Linked DNA regions of Macaca fascicularis. The main gene of each other region encodes a partner of the protein of the gene in region 3 in a complex. Links are inferred from orthologs where the notes say so. Each region holds a gene or a part of one and is shown on either strand. Other genes may lie near its edges.

What was found.
Region 1: CTNND1 (region 3) and CDH26 share a complex: the UniProt entries of both Homo sapiens proteins name them as parts of the cadherin:catenin adhesion complex. The link is inferred for Macaca fascicularis from reciprocal best matches to the Homo sapiens genes CTNND1 and CDH26.
Region 2: CTNND1 (region 3) and CTNNA1 share a complex: the UniProt entries of both Homo sapiens proteins name them as parts of the cadherin:catenin adhesion complex. The link is inferred for Macaca fascicularis from reciprocal best matches to the Homo sapiens genes CTNND1 and CTNNA1.

What each region holds. Positions count from the first base shown.
Region 1 is NC_088384.1:116,049,165-116,052,815, reverse strand, and holds part of CDH26 (cadherin-like protein 26), read right to left. Parts: intron 3,105-3,651; coding exon 2,883-3,104; intron 2,311-2,882; coding exon 2,180-2,310; intron 1-2,179. UniProt on the Homo sapiens protein: Cadherins are calcium-dependent cell adhesion proteins. They preferentially interact with themselves in a homophilic manner in connecting cells; cadherins may thus contribute to the sorting of heterogeneous cell types.
Region 2 is NC_088380.1:145,421,927-145,425,577, reverse strand, and holds part of CTNNA1 (catenin alpha-1), read right to left. Parts: intron 823-3,651; coding exon 622-822; intron 59-621; coding exon 1-58. UniProt on the Homo sapiens protein: Associates with the cytoplasmic domain of a variety of cadherins. The association of catenins to cadherins produces a complex which is linked to the actin filament network, and which seems to be of primary importance for cadherins cell-adhesion properties.
Region 3 is NC_088388.1:15,790,151-15,793,801, forward strand, and holds part of CTNND1 (catenin delta-1), read right to left. Parts: intron 3,567-3,651; coding exon 3,374-3,566; intron 2,436-3,373; coding exon 2,321-2,435; intron 1,135-2,320; coding exon 1,047-1,134; intron 1-1,046. UniProt on the Homo sapiens protein: Key regulator of cell-cell adhesion that associates with and regulates the cell adhesion properties of both C-, E- and N-cadherins, being critical for their surface stability.

The DNA.
Region 1 (3,651 bases), on a different chromosome or scaffold from region 3:
CTAGAGATGGCCTTATTTACCAAGGTTACAAAGACATAATCAGTAATTACTGCTAATAATGCTAATATTGGCAACCACCCTTTATTGCATGACCGTTAGTACTGAAAATTTGACATGTGTTATTTGATTAAAGTGTCCAACAAACTTAGGAGACAGAAGACTATCAAGTTCACTTTGTATATGAAAGTCAGAATCAGTTAGATTACGTAACTGATCAATCACAGATTTGGAATCTACACTCAGGTCTGTTGAATCCCACTTCTCAGAGCCCTAAGATACTGAAGCAGGAATGGAGATGCGCCTTTAGTTGTGAATGGGAAACAAGAGGAAGATTTGTTGGTATAAGAAGAGAACAGAGCCCCTTGCCCAGCATGAGGTTCTCTTGTCCCTCTGGCATAGCTGGTCTTTGACCAGTGCCACCATGTCATTAAGCCCCCTCCAACCCTCCTGGTCTTAGCATCACAAGGGCCAAGGTTCCTTTCCACCCACACTGCTTCTACAGCTGCTTCCTCTTTTCCAAGAGACAATCACAAAGCTGCTGGGAAAGAAGGGTAACCAGGGCATCCCCACTGTCCCTTCCATCTCAGCTACAACCTGAACCAATGCTCAGGAAGTGCGACATTCCTGCCAGTCTCCTCCAAGCTCAGCAGCTTTCATGCTCTCCTGCCAAGGAGGAGACTGAGGCACAGCCCCTGGGCCTGGGAACCATTTCTGTTTCCCTTCATGGTTGAGCCTCTGAGCCACTGGAACTGTCCAAGGCAAGAAATTCTACTGTTACACAAAGACTGCTGTTTGCCCAGATGGTTTTCTTCTTAAAATTACACAACAAATCAAGTTTGCTGCTGCTCTCACATTTGGGATGGGGAGATTCCTTCCAGGGGACTTCACAATCTGGAGAGTTTGGACCTTGCTCCTGTTTCCTTACCCAGGAAGGGCTCACAGGAGGGTGCACAGGCACGTACCTGCCAGAGGAGCCTAACCTCCCTTCCCTCCTTCACACCGCAGGGAAGACAAAATGCAAAGAACCCTGGGAGCCTCAGGCAAACACCAGCTTCTTCAATCACATATTTTTGAGAAACTCTCTAATTACATGAGCATCACATCAAAGTTCATTGGAATATCTTTTCCCTAAAGTGTCTCACTTCATTCAGCAAGTCTCTCCCTTCCAGGAAAGAACCACCAGTGGAGGTGTAAGATGGGGTGACCGAATCCTCTGTGTGTGTTTCCTTTTGACATTTGTGTTCATTTTCTAAATCAACCACTTAATTCTAGATGAAGACAAACAGGAGAGCTCACAATGCTTTCATCTCTTTGTCTGTCTAATCCCGGCCCAGAGTTGCTGCAAGGGTGACTAAGATAACGTAGGGCCCATTTCAGAAGCAGCCGGTTTGAAAAACCAGTGGCCATTGGCCAGTTACTTTATATGGTTCTGCCTTGTGTTAGGTGCCTTCATGTGTTAGGTGCCTTCAGAGAGGATGTGTTAGACATCCTCTTTGATCCACAACCTATCTGAGAATTTGACTTTATCATCCCAGTTCACAGATGAGGATGTAGGGTTAAATGATGAAGCTAATGAGATGCGAAGGCAGAAACAGAGCCCAGGCCTTATACCTCCAAGGGCAGTGAGCTTTCTGGTTGGCCTCTGCCGGACAATGGTAGAAGAGCAGGTTCTGCCATGATCTACGGAAAGCCATGACCAAGAAGCCAGCTCAGACTCATTTAACCAGTGAGCCTAACACAATCCCATTTAGGGAACGTCTACCTAATAAAAATCACTTTTTCCCTAAGCACAGTTTCTCAAACTTAGCACTTAGGGGACTGGGGCAGATAATTCTCTGTGGTAGAGACTGTCTTGTGTGTTGTAGGATATTTAGCAGCATCTCTGACCTCAACCCACCAGACACCAGTAGCACTCCTAACTGTGACCATCAAAACTGTCTCCAGGCATTGACGAATATCCCCTGTGGAGCAAAATTGCTCATGGTTGAGAACCATTCATCTAAAACAATAAATTCATTTATCTGAGTTAGTTTTTCCAAGAATTTTTTCCCACTTGCTACTGAAACATGGGTAAGAATGAAGAATTAAGAGGTGGTACAGTGGGTGAAAAAACACATGCTATATGTCTGTGTATTATTGAATTCCTTGCCATAAGACACAAAGCATGATATTCCACTACCTGGGCTGAAGTGGCTTTGCTCTCCTCATTATACATGACCAGTGTTTGGTGGCCTTCATCATTGGATATAGAGCATCCATGCCTCTTAGGTTCAAGCACAAAATAGCGTCGCAACAGGAAAAGCAGAGCCACTGTGATAAGACAAAGGGGAAAAACAGATTAGACAAGCTCACCCATATCAGAGGTTTCATGAGGATCTTGTTCTGTTCATTTATAACTCAGTCATGAACTGGCAAGGTCAAACTGCATCTTGGTCATCTGTGTAGCTCTAAAGTTTAGCACAGTTCCGGGATATAACTAGATGCTACGTACTGTTTGTTGAATTAATCAATAATACTATCTGGCCGGTAATATTGTATTGTTTCTTGGAAAAGCTGCTTTCTCATTAGCCTTGCCAAGTCCAGGAGCCTGGACATCTGTACGTTGCTGTCTCCATGGTTATTACAAAGGACCACTCCTTGACTATGTTTACCGATGGAGTCCATTGTGAGTACAGGCTGCTTTTGCTGGCCAGGGATCTTGCCTGGCCAACATGGCAACCTCTGATCTGCATCTAGGAGTGTGAGTACACCCAGAAGTCATTCTCAAAGCCATTCCACCAATCCTGCCATCGGCTGTCCCCTACCCCAGCAAACCCCATACCCTTGGCCTATTGCCTGGGGAGAGGAGCCATAGTCCCAGGACACCCCTACAGACCACTGACCTGCCAGAGCCACGAATGCTGCACAGACAGGGGACAGGGCCCCCACAAGAAGCCCCACTCCTGCATCTGCATGCTCCACACACGTGAACCCACTGGCACAGGGGCAGATCCTTACATGGACAGTTTGCTTCTGGGAAAGTCCCTGTTTGTCTCCAATGAAGAGTGGCACCAAGTAATTACCACGTGGCAGGCTTCTCAAGGTTAAAAGTTCAACTGAATGACCTGCAAAGGGAAAAAGAACATGGCATGCATTGACTCACTCATCTGCTCATCTGCTCAATGCACGCTTACTAAATGCCCTGCACAGGCCAAGCTCTGTATGAACGTAAGCCAACTGCAGAGTTAGAGGGAGGGGTCCCCAAGGGCACCCTCACTTCTGACACCAACTGCAAGTTCATGGATTCCCAAGACCACCCTCAGGTTCAACAATTCTCTAGAAAGACTCACAGAACACACTGAAAGTTGTTACAGCGATGGTGCCGTTTTTTACAAGGAAAAGATACAGATGAAAATCAGACAAGGAAAGAGGCACCTAGGGCAGAGTTCAGAAAAGCACCAATGTCAGAGCTTCTCATCATCCTCTCCTGAGAAGCCAGGTCAGCATCAGTGAGGGACAGCACACATGGGATGCTGCAGTCAGGGACGTTCACCTGAGCCTCAGGCTCCAGTGTCCTCCTGGGGCTTGGTCAGGCAACCTGGTGGGCCTCCCAGGTGGGTGGCCTCAGTCTCCAACCTCTCTGGTAGTCGACTGACACTATGTGACTAGAAG
Region 2 (3,651 bases), on a different chromosome or scaffold from region 3:
GGGTCCGAGCTGAGGGCTTCCACGGCCGCCTCTACTTGCTCAGTAAAACGTGGCATGACTGTGGAGAAAGGGGCACAGCAGATGTCCTGGTATGCAGGCAGCATCATTCCCCTGACCCTCCCTGAATCACTCAGCTAGACAGAAAGAGGTGAGGCTTATGATGAAGAGCCTCTGCTTCTATCTATGTGAGGAGTATTTATGGTTGAAATAAATGCAGTATTTTACAACAACTCAACAACTCAAATCATCTTTTTCTCTGCAACAGAGGGATTGGATGGTTGAGGGATTGGATGGTTGAGAACTTGGAAGTGAGACTAACTTGAAGCCTTGCTTAAGAATAGGACCTCAGGTTAATAGTTTAACCTGAGGTTAAACTCAGAAATTCATCTTAAATAGTGTGTTTAGAATTAGTCCCATGATTACTCATGAGATACACATGAAGAAAATATGCTTGTGAGGCCTGAATTTGGCTATGACCAACTTCTCAGGAGCCCAATGTGCCATGAGACCAAATCTGAGTTCCCGACTCCTCCTTCCTCACCACAGGGCTGGGCTAATCGGGTGGCCTGCCCTACTCAGGTTGCAGTGTGTGCGAGCACTGAAAAGCTAGAGTTCCCGTACCTGTGTTGGAGAGAAGCTTAGTGGCTTCCAGAACCTTCTCTGTGTAGACTCCAGGCTCATAGTTGTCCATCTCTGAGGTGACTACGTGAATGACCCGGGCTGCCCGGCCTCGAATTGCACCAGCTGTGCGGTCCAGGCCATCCACATCCTTCTCCTGGAGAGCAATGACACATTTGTTCACATCTTCCAAAATGTGATTCTCTGGAGAACAAGCAAAAAGCTGAATGAGGAAGGAGGCCTTCTATGAGAAGGTGGCAACTGTAAGCTGGCATCTATCATTTATTGTTTGCTTGGTGCCAGCCACAGTGCTGAAAGCTTTACATATATTTCATTGGAGAGACCAGTGACTAGTGACAGAGACAGAAACTAAACCTGTTATCACCCTCAAGAATAACAATCTTCATTCCAGGCTTTAAAAATAAAACAAAATAAAACAAAAAACAGGAGACATGCCCATCTTTGAGACACAGTTGTTCTGTAAGCCTGGCAGAAAATCACAGAAGCATCAATAACTTCTCTTCCTCTAGCTTCACTGACCCTGTGTCCCAAATAAAGGAAAGGCTAAATTAGAACAAAAGTCCACTGTCCGCTCTCCCTCTCCCTCCAGGAGATGCTGATGATATTCAGACAATCTACCAAGAAGCCAGTACAGCCCAGGGATAGGAGAAGGTGCTGGAAAGCAGGTTGAAGCCTCCTCTAGAGGAGCCTGAGGCATGAGATGAACTATTTAATAACCCTCTTCATGGTACACAGATGGGCTTATTGTGATATTTGAAGGGTCCCTAGAGGTGAAAACCCCTGACTCCTATGAAGCTGATGGGTGGCTCCTAACAGTCACACAGCTGAATTTGGGCAAAACACCACAACTATTTTTCCTCAAAGGAAAAAGCCTGACACTATACATTTTTAGGAACCCCACCACAAAGAGTTTGCTCAAACTCATCTATAATAACAACGTGGAAGCAAACCAAGAGAAGAGTGGATAAGTGAATTATGGGAACTATGCAGCCATTAAAGTGCATATCTGGAGGCTGAGGCAGGAGGATGGCTTGAACCCAGGAGGCAGAGGTTGCAGTAAGCCGAGATTACGCCGCTGCACTCCAGCCTGGGCAACAGAGTGAGACTCCGTCTCAAAAACAAAAACCAAAACAAACAAAAAATACCTTTCCAGAGAAGGCCAGGAAATAGTAAGAATTCTTATTAGAGAAGGGAAAACTAGATTACTGCAATATAGTTAAGACCATATTTTGATCTCTATTAATTACAGATTATGAGACTTGCCAGGGTTTATACCAATGAACTAATGAAAGAGTAAACATATTAAACTTCTAACATAAACACATTTTAAGAGGGACATTTAAACCAATTACAAGAATAAACGGATTTGGAGCCCATCACAAGCATTTCTGAAGTATATAAACTCTAATAATTCAAACTAAAAAATGTACTGAGCAGGCCGACCATACAAGGTCTTGGGTTAAAAATTGTTGCTTTTACTGGATCTAACACGATACCATTAAGATGAAACTTGCATTGCTAAGGAAAAGAAAGGAATAAAATGGAAAGTGTGTTGATAACAAAACTAAGAACCAATATTTTCTCATATCATTGATTTTAAGACTCATCCCTGTTTCAGAATCAATGAAGTATGGCATTCCTTCCCGTTCATTAAACAAAGTGACCCAAACTTCTACCAAGGATTTTTTAACCTTTGTCTAGATACATCTATTTTTTTTTTTTTTTTTAAATCCATCTAGACTTTCTTGAATTCATCCTGGCCTTCTTCTAGATGAACCTAAACCAGGAAAGGGTACGCCATTTTTTAGAGTAACATTCCCCACTTCAGGAAGCTGAACAAAGTAATATTCTCTACCCTCATGAAACACTTGTCTCTAGGAAAGCCCCAGCCTCGCTGAGGCTGCCGCCCAGGACAGAGCACCCAGCCTCCTCTCCACAACTGAACCTGATGCGGGGAGGTGCGAGTCCACTGTTTAACGGAGGGGGACAGGCTGTGCCCACACTAACTGAAACCATAAATCATTTTAGCTAAGGAAACAGCATAGGTCCACTATGAGTAGATACACAAATCTGTACCCATGAACAGCTGTCCAACACATGATTTATAGGTGTGCTTCTAATAGAAAAAAATCATACACACACACACACCAGTCCATATAAAATATGGACAACTATATGTAAATGAATATAAAAGGAATTATATTATGGACACTATTGTATCTTTTTCACTTGAAAACCTTTCTAGGTATGGCCCTACAGATCTACCTCATCCATTTTAATGGCTGCATAGTACCCTACTGAAGAGATGGAGGGGCTATAATTCACTTATTCAATCTTCCCTTAGACATTCTGGTTGAAGAAAACATCCCTCTACAGGTATTTTGGCAAACATTTGCGACACTCCCCTAGAGAAAATGTCTAGCAATGAGATCGCTGAGTTAAAAGGTATATATGTTTAAAGTAGAAGTATGGTACCTAATTGCCCTCCAGGAACGATGCCAATTGGCATTCTCCATAAGAGATGTCAGAACTTCAGTCTACAATGTGTAGCGATAGAGCCTCTTCTTTGTACCCTCTGCCCTGGGTATCTTTATAGCAAGCAGCGTATGCAGGGCTGCTGCACACAAAGAAAATGAAAACGATGTTTCATACTTTATGTAGAGGATTTACCCTGTGACATGAACTATTCTGAGGGCTTGCCATGTAAACTCTATGTAGTAGGCTTAAAAAGGAAAAAAAAAAATCACCGGCCAGGTGATTTCTGATTACATGGTGGCTCATGCCTGTAATCCCAGCACTTTGGGAGGCTGAGACGGACAGATCACAAGGTCAGGAGATCGGGACCATTCTGGCCAACATGGTAAAACCCCATCTCTACTGAAAATACAGAAATTAGGTGGGTGTGGTGGCAGGTGCCTGTAATCCCAGCTACTCAGGAGGCTGAGGCAGGAGAATCGCTTGAACCCGGGAGGTGGAGACTGCAGTGAGCCAAGATCACGCCACTGCAGTCCA
Region 3 (3,651 bases):
ATAAAAGTGATTTTTATTTTCTTATGAGATGGAGTCTCTACTCTGTTGCCCTGGCTGGAGTGCAATGGTGCGATCTCAGCTCACTGCAACCTCCGCCTCCTGGGTTCAAGTGGTTCTCCTGCCTCAGCCTCCTGAGTAGCTGGGATTACAGGGGTCTGCCACCACACCCAGCTAATTTTTGTATTTTTAGTAGAGATGGGGTTTCACCATGTTGGCCAGGCTGATCGTAAACTCATGACCTCAGGTGATCCGTCCTCCTCAGCCTCCCAAAGTGCTAGGATTACAGGCATGAGCTACCACACCTGGCCTGATTTTTTTTCTTCTCCAATTAAGTGAAAATGGCTCTCTGCTTTTACCTATGTGAGTGGCAATGAAGACTACAATGACTCATTCAGCTTTATGTCACTGCTAAGTCACCGGAAGCATCACTGCTTTCTGTGCCATAAGTACAAATGGTAACAGTCTTGGGACTCTCAGACCACACTTTAAGAACCAATAATCAAGGAAAAAAGCAAGTGTGATTAAGATAATAATGGTCACAATATACACTTCATGTGAAAAAGAAAAAAATTACAAAACAAAATATATAATTCATCTCAGAGGAAAAATGTGTTTGCTCACATGGTAAAAATGTTTAAAAAGATACAAGTGGTTTTCTCTGGATAATAGAAACAAGTGATTTTTTGTTATTTTTCTGATTGTTTATATTTTGTAATTTTAAAATAGTAATTATCTATTATAATATTCGGTATTAAATGGAAATTTAAAAGGAGAAAAAATAGAGAAAACAGACTAGAGTTCACTTTCCAGTGTTTTAAGTTCACAAGCAATGATAAGGGAATCACACTCAGGCTAATTACCTGTTTTGTTTTAATTTCTAATGCTTAGACCTACCCATTTCTGCATTAGGATCCTGGAGTGGAGAATTATTCCCCTCCCCCAAAAGACTACCCAATTCAGAAATAATATATATCCTATTTGTTAGTAAGCCACCTAGAACAGCAAGAGTGGCTAAAAGGAGAGGGTGTGCCTTCTGGATACTGCACCTGATTTTTGGTTCCGGTCAATGAGAGGGAGAGTACTATCATCGTATGAATGACTGCTCTGGCTTCGGGAAGCATTGTTTAGATTCACCTAGAGGCAAACACAAACGCAATAATATCACAGAATACTGAATTCACCCATATCTTATGCTCTAATGGGCATAAACCTCTAGGTTCCTATTCCCAAATAGAATTACAAAAAAGCAACTCATAAGAGTTGAATAAATAACCTAGATAGTGAAACAAACTAGGATATTATGGCTTCTATTTGTGTTCCAGAACAGGAGATTACAAAGGATCCAAATGTTGATACTATCAGAAGAAAATACAGTTTCAGAGAATAGTAAAAATTCTCTCAAAGGGCGATGGTAGATTTGGGCAAAAAGGCCATCATCCTTCATTATCACCTGCACCTAAAGTATGTTATGACGTAGAGGGATGCCTGAGCTGTGTCAGCAACAAATGAATTGTAGACACATCATCCTTTTGAGGAGTAAACCAAATGTTTTTTCTTTTTTTTTTTTTTTTTTTTTTGAGACAGGGTTTAGCTATGCTGCCCAGGCTGGAGTGCAGCAGTGTGATTTCAGCTCACTGCAACCTCCACCTCCTGGGCTCAAGCGATCCTCTCACCTCAGCCTCCTGAGTTGCTGGGACTACTGGCAAATGACACAACTGGCTACTTATTTTATTTCTATTTTTGGTAGAGATGGGTTTCACCATGTTGCCCAGCCTGGTCTCACACTCCTAGGCTCAAGCAATCCACCTGCCTCAGCCTCCCAAAGTGTTCAAATTACAGGTTTGAGCCAACACGCCTGGCCAGATAATTCCTAATGAAGAAATATGGGTCAAAAATAGATTCAACATGAGGCCAGGTGCAATGGCTCACGCCTGTAATCCTAGCACTTCGGGAGGCCGAGGCAGGCGGATTGCCTAAGCTCAGAGTTCAAGATTAGCCTGGCCAACATGCTGAAACCTCATCTCTACTAAAAATACAAAAAATCATCTGGGTATGGTGGTGTGCGCCTGTAGTCCCAGCTACTGGGGAGGCTGATGCACAAGAATCACTTGAACCCGGGAGGTGGAGGTTGCAGTGAGCCAAGACTGCACCACTTCACTCCAGCCTGGGCGACTGAGTAAGACTCTGTCTCCAAAAAGAAAAAAAAAAATAGATTTAACATGATGGTGAAACAGCAGAAACCAAAGACAACAGAAGCATTATCCTGGGACCAAGAAAAAAAAAAAAAAAGTAAAAGTCTTGGTCTCAAAAGTTACTATACCTGAAAGTCTGATTTCTTCCATCCTTCTTTCTCCAGTGGCTTCCGCAGTTCCTTATATCCCCAGATTGTTTGTAATACAAGTGCTGCTGCTCGAACTTCTTTTTCTGAGCGGTTCCTTTGGAGGAAAGTAACACCATATGGAATTTGGATATAAGACCAGGAAAAAAGCTTAGACCCTATATCGTCTAATAACATAAGAATATAAATGCCAGGGGCAGGGCATGGTGGCTTATGCCTGTAATCCCAGCACTTTGGGAGGCCAAGGCAGGTGGATCACCTGAGGTCAGGAGATGGAGACCATCCTGGATAACATGGTGAAACCCCATCTCCACAAAAATATAAAAAAGTAGCTGGGCATGGTGGCACACACCTGTAGTCCCAGCTACTCAGGAGGCTGAGCCAGGAGAATCGCTTGAACCCGGGAGGTGGAGGTTGCAGTGAGCTGAGATTGCACCACTGCACTCCAGCCTGGGTGACAGAGCGAGACTCTGTCTCAAACAAGAATATAAATGCCAAAATGGGTTAAATCAAATTTTTACCAAATCCTGTATTCTACCCCAAATAGTGACACAAAAAAAGTCTGACATAAGAGCCTATTAATTTATGGATCAACATCAAGACAGGTAATAGAGCAATAGCTCTTCACACTTTACATGTAAATAAGGGGAAATTTCCTTTTTTTTTTTTTGAGATGAAGTGTCGCTTTGTCGCCCAGGCTGGAGTGCAGTGGCGCGGTCTTGGCTCACTGCAAGCTCCGCCTCCCAGGTTCACACCATTCTCCTGCCTCAGCCTCCCGAGTAGCTGGGACTACAAGCGCCTGCCACCACACCTGGCTAATTTTTTCTATTTTTAGTAGAGACAGGGTTTCATCATGTTAGCCAGGATGGTCCCGATCTCCTGACCTCGTGATCTGCCCACCTTGGCCTCCCAAAGTGCTGGGATTACAGGCGTGAGCCACCGCGCCCAGCTTCCTTTTTCTTAGTAACCAAAAGAAGGAAACAACTCCCCACTCACTCAAATTCTTCTGATTGTAATTTTAGGTGGTAAGCTCACCCTGATTTGTTGATCAACACCAGCTTCTCAATACCCTGTGTCTCTCGAAGCTTTTTGGCAGCCTCCAAGTTCTCGGCGATAACCTCATTGATAGTGTTCAAAATAGAGACTACAGTGTCCTCAGAGAAATTCCAAGAGGAATTCTGCTGTCCTCCTGGCAGATTCTTTACCAAGTTAGGAACAGCATGTTTACCTAGTCAGAAAGAATGTATACAGGGAGAAAAGATCAAGTCAGGTCATGAAGAGCCTTACATTATACTTAATTGCATTAATCATAT